2 linked regions of the Lytechinus pictus genome follow. The protein of the gene in region 2 binds, or shares a complex with, the protein of the main gene of each other region. Links are inferred from orthologs where the notes say so. Each region holds a gene or a part of one and is shown on either strand. Other genes may lie near its edges. The genes, in order: N-alpha-acetyltransferase 30-like; N-alpha-acetyltransferase 35, NatC auxiliary subunit-like.

The links.
Region 1: the proteins of N-alpha-acetyltransferase 35, NatC auxiliary subunit-like (region 2) and N-alpha-acetyltransferase 30-like are in contact, whole or in part, in a cryo-EM structure (PDB 7MX2), measured with the Homo sapiens proteins. The link is inferred for Lytechinus pictus from reciprocal best matches to the Homo sapiens genes NAA35 and NAA30. Residues at the interface, in NP_001308810.1 of Homo sapiens: Leu45, Gly46, Leu48, Leu56, Ala59, Met60, Ala62, Glu64, Lys69, Glu121, Phe313, Pro314, Arg315, Ala444, Leu510, Glu511, Leu512, Glu517, Pro605, Lys606, Phe607, Glu608, Leu609, Asp610, Val614, Arg615, His618, Arg619; in NP_001011713.2 of Homo sapiens: Glu221, Pro238, Ser240, Tyr242, Thr243, Arg245, Tyr246, His249, Asn250, Lys304, Ile324, Glu334, Asn335, Leu336, Gly337, Val339, Arg340, Asp341, Lys342, Arg343, Phe345, Arg346, Tyr347, Tyr348, Leu349, Leu359, Trp360, Leu361, Arg362.

The regions. Positions count from the first base shown.
Region 1 is NC_087251.1:25,284,928-25,288,855, reverse strand, and holds the start of N-alpha-acetyltransferase 30-like, read left to right. Parts: upstream 1-1,094; 5' UTR 1,095-1,191; intron 1,192-2,213; exon of another isoform or gene 2,214-2,469; intron 2,470-2,562; exon of another isoform or gene 2,563-2,788; intron 2,789-3,928. UniProt on the Homo sapiens protein: Catalytic subunit of the N-terminal acetyltransferase C (NatC) complex. Catalyzes acetylation of the N-terminal methionine residues of peptides beginning with Met-Leu-Ala and Met-Leu-Gly.
Region 2 is NC_087249.1:21,913,244-21,917,171, forward strand, and holds the start of N-alpha-acetyltransferase 35, NatC auxiliary subunit-like, read left to right. Parts: upstream 1-1,172; 5' UTR 1,173-1,548; coding exon 1,549-1,586; intron 1,587-3,928. UniProt on the Homo sapiens protein: Auxillary component of the N-terminal acetyltransferase C (NatC) complex which catalyzes acetylation of N-terminal methionine residues. N-terminal acetylation protects proteins from ubiquitination and degradation by the N-end rule pathway.

The sequences.
Region 1 (3,928 bases), on a different chromosome or scaffold from region 2:
TGCTACTTAAGATAAAAATCATTTCAAATTATATACTTGATTTCATTTATTTTTTCAGTGCTTTTGGCAATGCATCGCAGTATATGAAAAAGTGTTATTTGGTTATCAACTTTTTTAACTTAATTTCCACTGGTATTTTGGAAAGGGCTCATTGACCTCTGACCCCTAAATACATTCTCCATGGCCGTCATTATTTCAGACCGAAATTATGAAACCTCCATGTTTTCATTACAAATAAGCCATGGTTATTTACATTATTTAGATATAAAATATGAACACAAAATATATTGTTTTTGGTTATTTTTATATCATATAGATTATATATTTCCTCTGATCTAGGATTTAAAGGGTGAAAGTTTATTCTTTATACTTATTTTAGTGTTGTTTAATCTTCTTGTACAAGTCTTTGGATTTTGGCACCAAGATCACCAACCTGCGGTGTTTTATCTCAGAGATACCATTATTATTATCTAAAAAGGACATTGACCTTTGTCGTTGAATTTTATGGGTGAATGTGCATTCTCGATGCTTAATTTTATTTTATCTTCCTGTAAGAATATGCGTGTTTTGACACCAAGAACACCAATCTGCACCGTTTTATCTTAGAGATACAATTATATAATATGGTATATGTAGTATAAAAGGTCATTGACCTTTGGCCTTAAATTTTATGCGTGAATGTGCATTCTAGGTACTTAATTTTATTCCATTTGATCTTCTGGTAAGAATCTGTGCATTTTGACACCATGATCACCAACCTGCGCCTTTCCATCTCAGAGATACCATTATACAGTATGTACGAAAAGGTCATTGACCTTTGACCTTGAAAAAAAGCACTTTCCCCAACCCGTATTCCTCCTAACTTTTTTTTGGTAAATGTTGACACCCATACCTACTCAAATCAGTCAAAAAACCATTTCCAATAATTTTATTCCAGATTGGCTCTTTTGGGGTCTAATTTAGGGATGCTAAAAGGGGAAGTAATTGTAATTGAATTTGAGAAATTGTAATTGACTTATATTACATTCAATTACTTTTGATTACATTCAATAAAAAAAAAGAAAAAAGGACCCTGGCTGGATGGAGGACATGGACAGAAGCCAGAGCTGTGGCCTCTGATAGGCAATGGTGGAGACGTTCGGTGGCCCGGGCCCTATGTGCCACTATAGGCATCTGGACTATAGGTAACAGGTAAGGTGACATTCAATTACATTACTTTATTACTTAATTTATTATTCAATTTACTCTGGATTGCTTTATTCCCTTAATTAGCTACTAGTGCTCTCTTCATGAAATTGTATCATTTTCCATGATAGGGAGAAAAGAGCTTAAAGAACTGCACAAAGTGGGTGGCGCTATACCTTGCGCTATACATACAAAATATTAATTGATCTGATTTATGACTTTCAAGTAATTAATTGTAATTGTAATTGACAAAAGTAATTAGTAATTGTAATTGAAAAAAATTGTAATTTAATTGAAAGGTAATTGTAATTGAACATTTCTTCAATTACGTAAGTGCAATTGCAATTGTAATTGAAGAAAGTAATTTAGCCCAACCCTGACCTTCACATCACCCTTTCCATCTTTTGCACCCTATAGCTACTCCTTTGATTGGGAACATTTTGGAGGTAATCGGTCCACTGCCTCCTTTGAATATTTTTACAGATAAATGGCGCTATACAATGATGTTCATCAGTAGCGTACGCAGGGGCCGATTGCCCGAAAGGGTCTTTCCAAGGACCGTCTTTCGTGTCGCCCATCTTTTATGATGCGCTATTAGCGGGGTGTTTCTGAAATTTATGATAAACAAATACAATTCGTAAGCTTGCTTTTAAATCAAATTTTATACAATTTTGTGAGATATCACATCATTTTATAAACAAATATTTTGTTTATTTTAACGGACGAATAAAATATGTTTGCAGATAATTTATTTGAAATGCGTTTCACATGGCGCATCATAAAAAATGGGCGACACGAAAGACGGTCCTTGCAAAGACCTTTTCGTGCAATCGGCCCCCAGGATTTTTGAAAGGGGATAGTTCAAGCTGAATGAAAAGTTTAAAAAAATATATATGAGGGAGGGGTTTTGAGTATCAAAAAAGTTAAAGGGGGTTTGAACACCTGTATCCCCCCCCCCCCCTGTGTACGCTACTGCTGTTCATCATCATCATAATCATTATCACTACCACCCCCCCCCCCCCCCACATCGCCTTGATTTTTGACTGATGCCCCGACTGATGCTTGAATTTTCTTGCAACATTATCAGCGCAGAGCATTTACCCGGTATGATAACACGTACGGTATACCGTATGTCATGTACGTGGTATATACGGTACTCCATCCCAGGCTTGAGCTTCTTTGAGCTGCAAAATGTATATGATATGACGGCAGCGCGAGCTAGGGGATCAATTTTTAGGTGCAAACTGATGTTTGATTTCTTCATGTTTTCTGGTGAGTTTACAGGTTTGTTTTGCGTTTTTCTTTCTGATACGTGATGTTGCTGTCGTTTGAGACCTGAGTCAGTGTTAATCAAAGTAAATTGTGGATCTATGTGAGTAAAGAATGAGTGTGAGGAATCCCAATCAAGATTGATGAAGTCGCGACACACAGCTGCACAGAGAGGTCTCGCTCAACAGATCGATAGGCCGTTTCTATTGCCAGTTCGTTCAACTTCCTAAGTATACAAGTTGAATAGGGGTATCACGATTCCTTGATATATGTAAGGGAATGGCACATGAGCCAAATCACTGGCTACTGTATATCTGTTGTCATCGCGATAAGTGTGAGTTAAATTGATGGTGTGTACTGTAGCCTATATGATGGGGTGTCCAAACTTCGCACACTTTTCAAAAATATTCATCAGGCTTAAATTTTTCACAAAATATTCATAATTTATAGTTTATACAAAACCAATTCAAGAAATAGTTACCACATTGACGGCAAGATCGTAAACTATAATATCATGGACGAAAATGTAAAGTAGGTCAAGGGGATTCGCCGGTATCGAGATCTCAAAATAATATTCTGATCGGCGAATGCGCGCTGTGCTGGAAAAGCGTTCAGAAAAAGTGTGACCTAACTTCGCGGACCTAAGTTTTTGTGGACATTTAAACAAAAACTCAAGCTCAAAAAGTGAAATATTTATATCAGATTGATGGCAAAATGCTATAGCCTATAGTCTAGAATCGGTTAGTACCACATTTAACTCACATTTTTGATGATTTCTGCTTGCAAAATGGTGATATCGACTATCGTGATGCTTGTTGAGAATATCAGATTTCTTCAAAACGGGCGCTAACGGTGACAAATTTGCCGATCTTTTGCTAATATTTTCATGAATACTGAACTCATCCTAAAGAAACTTACACCAAAAGGTAATTTTAGGTCGCTTTTCACGTTGATGATGTCAGATTTTAAGGATATTGGCTAGTTTTTTAGATGACCCTCCGCGAAGTATGGACACGCGCGAAGTTTGGACTCACTGCCATACTTCATGAATCAAGATTGATTCAGGAGCAGATTTAACAATTGATGAATTGAATGCACAAATCACTAATGAGGAGGTTGTTATTAATGTTATGATTAAGATTAGAGCTAATAAATAAGCATGATTCATGATAAGAAATAAGAATCATGAGAATACACTCAAAAACTTTTTTTTTTCATGTTTTTTACATTGATCTGTAAGTTATGGAATACCAAATGTTGATTTAGCATTTTAGGAGCAGATTTAACAATTATGATGAATTCATCATCTGCTGTAATCTTCAAAGGGCTCTGGAGCCTATCTCGAACTCGAAAGAGGTTATGATTAAGATTATAGAGCTAATATGATAAGAAATTAAAGGGATGGTCAAGGCTGGAGATATTTATTTCTTAATTAATGGAGTAAAATTCCCAGAGCAAAATGCTGAAAATTTGA
Region 2 (3,928 bases):
TATTTGGTTATGGAACCTTACAAATTTCCTTAAATAAAACACCATTATCGCCTTTTTAAACAGAGCTGTTCTGTTAAATTGCAGAAAAATTCCTGTTTTATGAATTTACAGAATGATTCTGTTAATGCTTTCTGCAAAATTTTCTTTTTTTCTGTAAAATCAGGTTTTTTCAACAGTGTATAGTAGTCTTTATTATTAATTTGAATAACATTCATACGTACATGATCAAGAAAATATAAACAATTAATGATAATTGCAGCTGTAAAAACACAAATAAAATTACACTGTAATAATATATAGCAGACAATTTAAATTGTTTCGGAACAATGACATAATCCGAAATCATGCAAAAATAACATTTTAACAAGTCATATATGCAGCTAAAGCAATAAAAAACATAAATAACGTAACAGCTATATATACGCAAACTGAAAGAATTAATGTATGATGATTCTCCCGCGCCCCAAAGAGCACCCCCCCCCCCTCATCAGACCCCGAAGCTAAATAAACTAACATAACCAACACCAACAAACAGGAGAAATAGACAGAAAAACACCATACACATAAAGGGGAGTAAGAGAGAGCGAGAGAGAGAAAAAAACAAGCAAACAAAAGACATGTAGGGACAATTAACACAAAGAAAAAACAACAACAAACAAATCGACTCCATGATCGACTCCATGCGGGGCAGACGATCGAGGGGCACCCCTCCCTTCCCCATCCTTTTTATTTTGGTTATTGTTTAAAACCTTTGAATATTCCCATTTTTATAGTGTCGCGTTAACGTATTTCGCTCTAATGCAATTTTTTTTCTTCTTTGCTAATAAATAACTTTTATCTCTTCAGGAGATGGTGATTACCGACCCTTCCCCCTCCCTTGATATATTAAATTTTGATTAGCAAAATGATATGATAAAGTAATTGTAAGTTTTCAGTTGTTTCCTCGAGACCAATATGGATTTCCATCCAGCTAAGTTTTTTGAGAATGGGAAGGCTGAACAATAAAACTGATCCGTTCCCACAAATCTCCTTCTTTTTCACATTAAAAAATAAATGCTTGTATAGGTTTCTTCGTGTTTAATTGCTAAGAACATTTATCACTTGCTATAAAATGAAACCTGTATAAGTGATGATTCAGAAAGATGATATTGTATAACATTTTAAATTGAAATTCTCTCAATTTGTTATCCAACGCACTAACTCTAGGACGATAAAACGTTTTCTCAATTTCTTTATTTTTATAGAACGATGCATGCTAACTTATGAACTAACTGGTTGTTCGATCAGCAATTTGTTTTATACACCCTCTATACAGATTTTCAGAAGTGACCGAGTCGAATTTAATGTTTTTCTCATAAAAGACAAATTCAATATTCAAGCCGTCCACTGATTCACTGAAGTATTCCTTCTCAATTTGTCTTCCCAGTTGGATAGGTCCATAATTGTGAGATCTCAACGGGGCGGCCCTGGCCGGCCGTTAGACCGATACCGGACCGACTGCATATACGTATACCTTGACCGGCGATCGTAATGTAACGAATTGGCCGAATGGAGAGTTTATGTCAAGCCGCTGAAATGGAAGCGAGGTAACTTATTTCTTTTTGTAGTAAAGTTGTAGTTAATTCAATTTCAATTGCAGTTTTACAAGCATCTCTGAAATATCTTGAATTAGATCCAAGTTAAGTTTGGCTAGCATGAAAACTGTACTTAGTGTCACGCCGCTTCAGTTGAAAAATGTTCACAATAGTAGACAATACATTGTCCCACATATTGAGAATTTTGTCATGTGCTGCTGCATAAACCATTGTAAACTGCAGTCTGCAGAATATGCAGATATCAACCAGGCCTAAAATTTCGTAATTTTTAGGGCAGGGCTAGTTTGGCCTTGAAATACTTCATATTTTTTAAGGGCATCATTTGAATGATTTCCTCTCTCATATTTTCATGTAATTTTGTGACCATTCCATGGCACAGAATAAAAAGGAATCACTCTAAATAATTGTAAAAGGAAGGAAGGAAGGAAGAAAGAAAAGAAAGAAAGAAAAATATAAAGAAAGGGAAAAAGGAAAGGAAGGGAGGGTGAACGAATGGGTGAAAGAAAGAATGAAGGAGAGAAAGAAAAGAGATGAATGGAGAAGAAATAAAGAAAAATTAAGGGGGAAAATGAGGGAAAAGGTTAAAATAAAAATAAAAGGAAAGTAATGAAGGAAAGAAAAAAGTTTTCCTTCATTCTTTGAAATAAATGAAAAAAAGGGGGGGGGAAGAAAGGAAGGGAAGATGAATGAATGTTTGAAATAAAAAATAAAGGAGAGAAAGAAAAGAAAGAAAAAGAGTAAGAAAAAAAAAGGAGGATGAAAAAAGGAATGAAGGAAAGAGATATGTTTCCTTCATTCTTTGAAAGAAAGAAAGAAGAAAACAGGAAGGGAGGAAGGAAGGGAATAGCTAAAAAGAAAATAAAGAATGAAAGAAAGGATGAAAGAGAGGGAGAAAAGAATGGAGGAGAGAATGAAAAAAAAAAAATAACAGGAGAGAAAGAACAAAAAGATAGAGGACATGAAGGGAAAAGGAAGCAAACAAAATTTTCTAGCCATTGGCTAGAATCTCCTAAGGCCCTCTACAAAATAAATGCCATATTTCACACAGGTTTAAAAAGGTGGGAAAAAGGGCTTCATATCATTCGATAGGTTTTATAGAATTCTTTAAACCCATTTAACCAGTTGCATACTGGAACCAGATATAGGGACAGTGATTTTCGGTTTCAGCATGTCAGGAAATGGAAATTCCATTTCCCAATAGACTTTATGTACAGTATGGAAAATTGACAATTTAGTTTTACCCATTGAATAGCAATATCACAACACTCGCGCTGGTCAAAATTTGTATCTGCCACTGTACCAACAACCAAGCCTTGAAATAAGCAGCTGCAGACCAGGGGCAATTTTTCAAAAAAAATTGCCCCCGGCTCACGGGCTTTTTACAGGAACCGGGGGCAATTAAAAAAATATATATATAACGGTGAACCACACCGCAAATTTGTTTATAGTAAGCGCAGCTCCTGCAAGTTTTTAATTAGTACATGAATAACATGCTAAGTATTAGGCTTATTCAAACATTTAAGAAATCAGATTTAAATGTTTAAGTGTGTTTTGACCAGTGTTGTAGTCAAGGTTCAAACCTCCAAGGCCAAGGCTTTAATACCCAAGGCCAAGGCTTCAATCTCCAAGGCCAAGGCATGGAAACCCAAGGCCAAGGCATTTCAAACTTTCGATATATGGAACAATGAGCCAACAATGCTTAGGCGGCAGACACAGTGCAAAATGTATAAAAGGTGGGAGCGAGCGAGCGAACTGAGCGACCAAAAATTTTGACCCTTCAAGTAAAACAAAAATAATTTCCTGATAGATTTAGACATAATATCAAAGTAATAATACTTTTTTTTGCTAGGCGATTTACATTGCAATAATTAATATTACCACGGTCATCTGATCCTGATCCTAGCATGCCCATTCTCAACGTATGTCTTTCTCCACTCCCTGGGATAGGGGCGGCAGAACATATTTTTGTTTATTAAAGGGATGGTCCGGGCTGAAAATAAATAGAGTAAAATTCACAAAGCAAAATGCTGAAAATTTCTTCAAAATCGGATAACAAATAACGAAGTTATTGAATTTTAAGCTTTATCAATATTTTGTGAAAACAGTTATATGCACATCGTCATGAATATTCATTAGGTGGGCTGATGATGTCACATCTCCACTTTCCTTTTTCTTATGTTATTGATGTATATGAAATCATAAATGTTCCTTTTTTTCATACATGACATGTACATGATGTGTCTCCATTATGATGAAATAAGTTGTGGCAATAAATAACTAATGCACTAATAATCAGATATCAATCCAATTCTTTTAGTGTGGTAGAAAAATAT